2 separate regions of the Mus musculus genome follow, and region 2 is reported to be linked to region 1. Evidence: microRNA targets listed by miRTarBase, many of them from high-throughput screens and not tested one by one. Region 1 holds a microRNA gene; the other region holds the end of a gene's coding sequence.
What was found. Region 1 holds the annotated microRNA mmu-miR-3095-5p (AAGCUUUCUCAUCUGUGACACU, at 2,863-2,884, opposite strand). A microRNA usually pairs through its seed, bases 2 to 8, with sites in the 3' UTR of a target mRNA and lowers its output. Matches are read on the target gene's strand: a 7mer-m8 pairs with bases 2 to 8, a 7mer-A1 pairs with bases 2 to 7 and ends in A, and an 8mer does both.

Region 1 (4,393 bases):
TAACAACCCAATAACAGTATTGTTATCCCAAGCTCTGTGGCATGTGAATAGGCAACTGCCAATAATGAACGCTTTAGTTTTTGATCCAACAATCACAGTCCTTGTGTACATTTTATAAAGGATAACTCACCTAATGTGCACACGTAGCAGGCAAGCTAAAACTCCACTGTACAGACAGAGAAACTGAGACCCAGGAAGATTAAATACCTTGCTTAAAAAACTAGGACCCTGTGAGGTGATAAACAAGAATCAAATCACAGAGTCTATGCCCTTGGACGCTGGCTCTGGCATCCACATTCCTGAAAGCACCACATTATCCTTCCACCTTTTGCAAATTATAAAGTTAAGTATTTATTACCAAATCTTATATTTCAGCTGCCCTGTAACCTAGGTCAATTCTCTGCTTTCTCACCCACTACTACTCTGAATTATTCAGATTTTTCTATAATTATGATTGCTTTGGAAATGCAGATGAGAAAAAATATCCCTTCTTATTTAGTTTCTGAGATCGCATTCCACCTGGATCTGAGGGAACATGAAAGCCATGAAATGATTCGTTAGCTTTGATGACTGTGTAATCGGGGCATGCGCTGGGGGTCTTCTACAGAAGGAATCAATCCAGTGGGGCAGTGTGTGCCATTACACCTCAGCTACCCCCCCCCCATTGGATAATCAGCTACGTAGTGAACAGAGAGAGGGTGAGCAGGGAGAACCCCCACACGCATTTGAATCTTCAGATGCACACAGTGGTTCAGGTTTCAGTGGCGTCTTCAGCTTGAACCAATCTCAAGGAATGAGTTCATAAAAAGAAAACAAATGTGATTTAGTCTCCAAACAGCCCAGCTTTGAATGTGAGAGCCTCCCCCATCTCCTTTTGCACCCTTTCAGCGGGGAAATACAAATAGAGCAAGAAGAAAAATACCGTATAAAGCTCTTTGTTCTGTACCACCTATGTGTATTGGTTTTAGACTGCTGTTCACTTTGAAGGCCATCCAAGGTGCTTCGTTTTTCTTATAAATACAATACCTTAGACACTCCTCAGAGAGGGAAAACAATATTCCAAATATCAGCAGATAATAGCCACGGCTCTATCTGACCCTCAATAAAAATGCTAAGAGAGCCTTCATTCCAAGCCCTTGAATTTCCTTTATTGAAAATCACTCAGAAAGTTAAACATGAAGGGAAATCAAAAGAATGCCTCCTGGGTTTCAGAAATAATGCCTTATTCATCGAGAAGCCAGGAAAGAAATCATTCTCAGGATGGAAAAGGCTTGGATGGGAAAGTGCACAGTCTCATTATTCATCTACTTATCACACACACACACACACACACACACACACACACACACACACTCGTCATGAATGGAAAAACAATCCTAAATGTTCCTTTTCCCCTTCCCTTTATCAAAGCTCTCATTGAGCTCAAATTCAGAGCTTGGCTGGCTACAAGCACAGACAGATATATATTAAATAAAACTACCTCCTTCTCCCTGTGGGCGGCAGAGAGGAAACACCCTTCTTCCCAGGCTGCTTCACTTTGATCAGAAGAGGATCTAAGTACTGTCATGGGCTGTTCATGATTTCTTAAAATGCAAAAATTCAAGAAGAACAAGGTCCTCTTAGGAAAGAGATGGCCTTAAAAAAGAGACTTTGGACTTCACTTTTAGACAGAAAAAAAAAAAAAAGCACCCTATTAGATTTGGCCACAGGAAATGGGAAATGCTCCAGCCTGACAGAAGCTAACCTATGTGAACACTTCATGCAGGAATTGGAGTCCTCTCCGTTCTTCACTGGAAGGAACTGTTGTTATAACTGTGATTAGGCCAACCACACTGTCTCAGACTCTTCATGATTCAATCAAATGTCTCAGTGATAGCCTCAGAAATCCACATTAAAAACTGATCATATTAGCCTGCGTGGTGGTGGCACACACCTTTGATCCCAGCACTTGAGAGGCAGAGGCAGGCAGATTTCTAAGTTCGAGGTCAGCCTGATCTACAGAATGAGTTCTGGGACAGCCAGGGCTACACAGAGAAACCCCACTCTGAAAACAAATGAATGAAGAAAAGAAAAGAAAAGAAAAGAAAAGAAAAGAAAAGAAAAGAAAAGAAAAAGAAAAAGAAAAGAAAAGAAAAGAAAAGAAAAGAAAAGAAAAGAAAAGAAAGAAGGGAAAGGAGTGGAGGGGAAGGGAGGGGAAAGGAAGAGGGAGAGAGGGAGGGAAGGGAAGGAAAGGGAAGGGGAGGGGAAGGGGGAGGGTGGAGGGGAAGGGGGAGGGTGGAAGGGGGAAGGGGAAAAGGGGAAGGGGGAAGGGGGAAGGGGGAAGGGGGAGGAACAAAAAGTGATCATGTGGACCTTTCCTCTCCCCTTTCCCTTCTCTTTTTGGGGTGTCCTGGATCACACTGACCCAAAGACAACAGTGTATTATAAGAGAGGAGCAGGGGGCTGGAAAGTCCAAGGTGTTCAGGCTCCTAAATCATAGAGAATGCATAGTCTGAAATCAAGTCTTCTCACGTCACCAATTTCCCTCTGAGCTTCTAAGAATCAGTCTCATCTGTGTGTGTGTGTGTGTGTGTGTGTGTGTGTGTGTGTGTGTGTGTGTGTGTGTATGTGTGTGCGTGCGTGTGTGTGTTTAAATAAGTACTTAGCTCTAGCTGAGTGGGGTCACCCTCCAGAGGTGCATCACAGGCTATGTCCAGACTGTAGTTTTGGTTATGTCCTTGTAAGACGTGTGGATGAGTTGAGCAAACCCCTATTTCATTATCTGTGAAGCAGAGAAGCAACAGCTCTCTTCCTACCCCACAAGGCATGAGGAGCGACTTGCAAAAGCTCTCTCTCCAGTGTCCACTCCCTGAAACCATCTCGAGTGTCACAGATGAGAAAGCTTGTGCACAGGGCTCTGGGTGGATCCTCGGCGAGGAAGAGCAGGAGAGCATGATACGAACCATGAAGGCTTGGCATTCTCAGAACTAGCTACACATCTTCCCAGACAGTCCCAGGACTCAGAGTTGAACACGAGAAAAGGAAGGAAGAGAGGAAGTGACACCGCTCCCCGTGGCTCTGCAGCTTCTTAGTGCCACACTTGACTAGATGGAAACTAAAAATAATATACAATTCCAGAGCCAAGGCTGCTTTGGTGTTGTTTATCTCTGGCCTACTTCTGATGGCAGACTCTACAGACCAAGGCACAAACCTGAAAAGTGGTATGGAACAGTATGAAAGAGAGAAAATACAGTTTGCGGCTCCATATTGTAAAGCCAGGAGTGCAGAAGATACGAGGTCTAAGGTCATGAAGACCTGGTATATCAGGCTAAGACATTCTCTCTCCAGCCTAGAACTGGTTCTCAGCCTGTATCACATGTAACAATGATGCAAACGAGACTTATAAGGAATAATGACCTCCACTGTAATCTTACTGGCCTCAACGGTCAGGTTTTCACTTAGGATACAGATTAGTGACAGCGAAAGATGGAAATGATGGAGATAAAGAGAATTGTGTCTGTGTATCTATGTGTGTCTGAGTGTTTATGTGTGTATATAAGTGTGTGTATGTGATTGTGTGATTGTGTGTTCATGATTGTGTCTGTGTATACAAGTGCTTGTGTGTGAGAATGTCTGTATATCTGTATGTGTGTGTCTGTGTGTATGTATATGTATGTGTGATGTGTGCATGTGAGTATATGTGAATATGTGTACGTGTCTGTGTATATGAGTGTATGTATGTGAGTATATCTGTGTGTCTGTGAGTGTATATGTGTGTGAGTGAGTGAGTGAGTGTGTGTGACTGTGTGTGAGTATATGTGATTGTGTGTGAGTGTGTATGTATGTATGTGTGTGAGTATGTGTGTCTGTATCTGTGTGTATGTGTCTGGGTATATCTGTGTGAATGTGTGTGCATGTATATGTGTTTGTATGCATACATGTGTGTGTGTGCATGTATATGTGTATCTCTAGTTTCTAAAACAAGAATAAGTAGAGCCTGAATCTGGGCAGCAACATAGAGCAAGAAGCTGTCCACTGTTGCTCACCACTTCCATCAATAAAATGCAAGTCCAGCACCCTGCTAGGCTCCTCAAAGGTTGAGTCCCAGGAACCATGCCTCTCGGTGAATAGAAAGTTCCCTACAACTTGTCACAATCACAAAGAAGGTGGAAGCAGGAGGCTTCAAAATATATCTGCGGGTTGCCTGTCCTTGAACCAGCTTGGATTCTTTCTTATAGTCTGTCAAAGCAATCTGGGAGGGCCTGCTGCCCGAAAACAAATGTAAGAGACCCTGGAATGCTGGTGCAAGGGTCAGGGAGGAAATGGGCAGCTTTGGAACAACAGGTCCCAGCTGCAGAGCACAGTCACGTGACCACACCTTCCCTCCAAGCAAGGCGTTCACTGCCTGCTCTCT
Region 2 (4,393 bases), not on the chromosome of region 1:
TAGAGAGAGAGAGAGAGAGAGAGAGAGAGAGAGAGAGAGAGAGAGAGAGAGAATTTTGTTTTTTAACAAACCTTTTAAGAGGATTTTGGAAACCAGCAGTTAGTAGTGAGGGATAGGACTCAGCGTTCAGTCAAGGCTATTTGTAAAAGAGGGATTCGGAGATTTAAATATGCCTTGCCCAGTGTCTCCTGTCATTATTTTCCCGTCCTCAGGTTGAACTTCACTCAGGGAAATCATCTTTTCCCGCTTCCGAGAGGATATTTCCCAGTTTGATTTATGCCACAGAGTAAGATTTTACGTCATTTCCCCATTTTCCCCCAGTCCCCGCCTTTCTCTGCATATGTGTTTCCCTCGGACTTTACTTCTGCCCAGTAAAGGGTCACCCAAGAACACCCACATTAGGTGGTGGCTTCCCAGTGCTGAGGTGGTCTGGCCATCTTAACCATAACTCTTCAAAAGTCGCCTGGGATCTGAGCACTTAACCCCAGCCGGGTCATATGGGAGTTGCCACCACCAAGGTTGTGGTAAACAGAGGAGAGTCTCAAATGGCTTGCTAGAGGGAACCTTGACTTAGAAGAGGAAGCCTCTACCTCTCACTCATAGCTGCCCTTCCAAGTTCAATAGGGACACATACACCAGGCCTGCAAAGACATCTAAAATTCCTCAAAAGATTTACTTGGGCCCTAGGAAAGGGTGGTAGGAAAAGGAACAAGGAGAGTAACAGGTCAAGCAAAAGGACCTCATGGGAGGAGAGAGGACAATGGGGTACAAAGTAAAAAGATGAGAGAGCCAGCACCTGACCTCAATAAAGCTTTGGGGGTAACCTGGACACAACCACTGAATTTTCCATCCCAGCTCAATCTGCTATATGTGGGTCACCTGGATTCCAACTCCACACTACCCAAACAGCCAGCCTGAAAATGCCAACTCCTGTGGTTTGGCCAGCCCAGGAGGTTGACTAAATGCCTTGTGTCCATGTGGCAGATCTACCTCCTTCCAACAGACGGAACACAGTCTTTAAAAACAAGGGGTGTAAATCCCACCTCAGAAATGGTCAGTGTCTACCTCAGTCATCACAGATCCTCAGTATGTTCGGAAGTGTGGCGCCCATCAAATGGCCAAGAGAGAAAGCATATCTGGTTGTATGCTCAGGAGTCAAAGATGACTGCTGATCACAGGGATTTCTAAACATCCCGTGCTATTTCTAGAGAGAATCCTGACAACTTGCTTCCCTATGGACAAAACTGGCTTGATCAGAAGCTAATCAGAAAGGTTTGGGGGAGGTGTTTCCTATAGAGGAGGCAGCGATCTGAAAGAGTTACTCAGACATGTAAAGAACAGGAGATGTCTTAAGGGCGTGGGGTTAAGTGTACATGGAGCTCATCCCAGCAGAGAAGGGACAAGAGGCTCAGGCTCCTTAATTCTCTACACCCCAGTCAGCCCACAGCTCCTACAGTGTTCTATAGGGACTCCAGGGGGCCACATGCTCCAATTTCTTTTTCCTGTGACCAAATACAGCCAAGGTGACTGTACTCTCAGGCTCCCCATGGCCAAGGTGGCACAGGCTGGTGGAGAATAGGGACTTAAACTCTTTTCTTCCTGAACCCTTCTGAGCTCTAAAGCATTTCTATAGAGCAAAGCAAGGTCATTCTAAGGCCCACAAAGCCATGTGCATACGCGGGAGCCATAGTCTAGAGCCAGGTCACTAATTCTCATGCAAACGTTCAACTGTCTGCATCCTTCAGAGCTTAGGGCCATGTATCCCTCCCACTTGTGACTGGGGCAGCTATTCCCATTCAAGGGCAGCCAAAGAGAACCATCTCTACTTTTGCAGCCCACCTCCCCTCCACAAGCTGTGCAGACTCTGCGCTGTGCCCGGCTGTCACCAAGGAAGGGCTGAGAAAGGCTGGGAAACTCAGAGGGAATTGAAGAGAAAGAACAGCGGTCAAGGTTGTCACCCATCTAGAACTAGCCTGGAACCCCACGCACGCCCCATGGTCTAATTTTCTCTAAGCACATGATCTCAAATAGGTGTGAGGTCCCAACCACAACGACAGGTCCCTTCCATTTCCCATCTCTTCATCAACTCACACCCAAACTCTCCCCCAGTGCAGACTTCCAACTGGATGACATAAAGTCAGCTACTGGAGGCTCCAGTAGGCTAGGGCCAGTGGGGCAAGGAGACCTACATGCTGGATAAGGCTTTGCTTGTATTCTCTCAGCTTAAAAAAGAAAAAACAAAAATTAAAGATTTATTGTTCAGGTTTGGACTGAGTTTTGTTTTTTTCCTCAACACCCCCAGAAGGCCAACCAAGACAGTAAAGTTCATATGGAAGGAAAAGTCTTGGAAATCCAAGTTCACTTATTTATCCTAGAGCAAAAAAAAAAAAAAAAAAAAAGTCTCACCCTAGGCAATATATCATCCTAAAGACGGGCTGCTCGCCATCCCTTCCTAACATCACGACTTTAGGGACGGGGCTGACACAGAGCAGAGTCCACCATTCTCCTGAATGACAGAGACTAAGAGAGAAAATGCCACCGTGACTTGTCCTTGAAGATTAGAGAACTGGCATTTTTGTCACATGAGCCGCACACAGAGGGTCTGGCACAGGCTTGTGCCTTTTTAAAATCCCTTCTCTTCTCTCTTTCCACGTGGCTCACCGCAAGAACGCACCAAACGGCGTGCACCTTGAATAGTATTTGGTCCAGGGTGGTATGAAAATAAGATCTGTGTGAACAATAGGCTTCATAATATATAAACAAAAATAAATAAATAAAATAAACCCAAATAAAGAAAAAAATTTCCTAGTAAGTCATGTTCTTCTGTTTTTTTTTCTTTTTTTTTTGCAAAACTAGCTTTACATATAATACACATAAATTATCAGAATTTCCACTTACACGTTGTTTTAAAAATATATATTTAACAAAACGTTTCTAAATGTACAATATCTGGGTTTGTAAATCACTCAGTTGGGTATTAAGACCAAGCCCTAAGAGTCACACCGAGTTGCATTGGAGAGAAGACTGAAGCCAGGCCTATGTAGTCAAGAGCTTACCGCACGCTCGTTGGTCTGTGGGTTCCCTAAGACGATCGTTCCCTGGTCCCAGATCACATAACCAGAGAACTGTGATGGCCTCATCTCCAAGTTGGAGGCACTGTGTAGACACAGACTGAGTCGGGAGGATGAGGGAGGTTGGTCTTCCCCCTTCTGGACCAAGGTAGGAGAGTTTCAGCTAGTGGGGGAAAGGTCGACAGGGCCTGGCGGAGCGCTTAGAAGATGGATCCCTGGAAGGCTCTATGGCTGGCTGGGACAGGGTGCACAGGGAGGCCAAGGGTGCTGTGTTTGCCACCTTTACACAAAATCAAACCAATGAGGAACAACCGAAGGGCACGAGGAATGGATACAACCGTAGGTGTGAAGACACACCCCGACAAACTCTTGGCTAGGGTGGACCCTGGGCTCCGATGGTAGAAACACACACAGGGCCCGGCTGGGAGTCTGAGACCCTTGAGCAAGTGGGGGCAGGTGAGCCGGGGCCCTTCAGACTTCATAGATTTTGTCCTGCAGATAGCTGAACAGGGAGTCCAGGCCCTTGGAGGAGCTCCAGAGCTGCTTCAGCATGACGCACTCCTTCTCGTTCACCTCCTCCAGCACTGACTTCAGGAAGCTTCGGACCAGGCATTTGGACTCCTCCAAAACCTGGAAAGAAACGCATGCTGGGTTAGCTCTCCCTGGGGCTGAGCACTGTCCTGAGGGGCTTCAGGTGGTCAGGGTGTTGAGCCTGTGACCATGAGATGGCTATGGGAGAGAAGCAGGGTACTCGGGGGCCTTGCCTAAGGTGACATATGATCGGTACCGTGTGTGTGTGTGTGTGTGTGTGTGTGTGTGTATGTGTATATTATATGTATATATGTGTGTATATATATGTATATATGTGTGTATATATATGTATATATATACACACATATATATATATATTCACACACACACACACACACACACACACACACACACACACACATATATATATATATATACTCCTTCCCAGCACAGGTTCTCATATATACATATATACACATACATACATACACACACACACACACACACACACACACACACACACACACATTATACATGTAGTTTCTGGAATATCAATCGCAGGTCTCCATGCTTACACAACAAGCACTTTGCCCATGGGGCTGAGTCCACACAGCCTCTTGGTGCTATTTGCCTATGGGTTTCATGACCAAGTTTGCAAACCATTTTTTGACGCGGCCCCATGGATGATGAACAGAGTCATTTTCATGACCTGTCAGGAAGAATAACCAAACCCAAGGGTCCCTATGAACTCAGAAGGAGGTGATGAGCTGATCTCATAATGGTCGTTGGAG

Region 2: the mRNA of Cdyl2 is a reported target of mmu-miR-3095-5p. Seed matches in the 3' UTR shown: 7mer-A1 at 2,854-2,860.

What each region holds. Positions count from the first base shown.
Region 1 is chr4:58,438,202-58,442,594 of GRCm38, forward strand. Mir3095 (microRNA 3095) reads right to left here and starts at 2,897; the gene lies at 2,811-2,897. All of the region lies in intron 3 of Lpar1 (lysophosphatidic acid receptor 1), which reads right to left.
Region 2 is chr8:116,571,587-116,575,979 of GRCm38, forward strand. It overlaps Cdyl2 (chromodomain protein, Y chromosome-like 2), which reads right to left. Exons shown (of 7, transcript NM_029441.3): 7 at 1-3,701. The coding sequence ends at 3,543. Among named protein-coding and RNA genes, the nearest start is that of Gm31367, 32 kb to the right of the region's middle.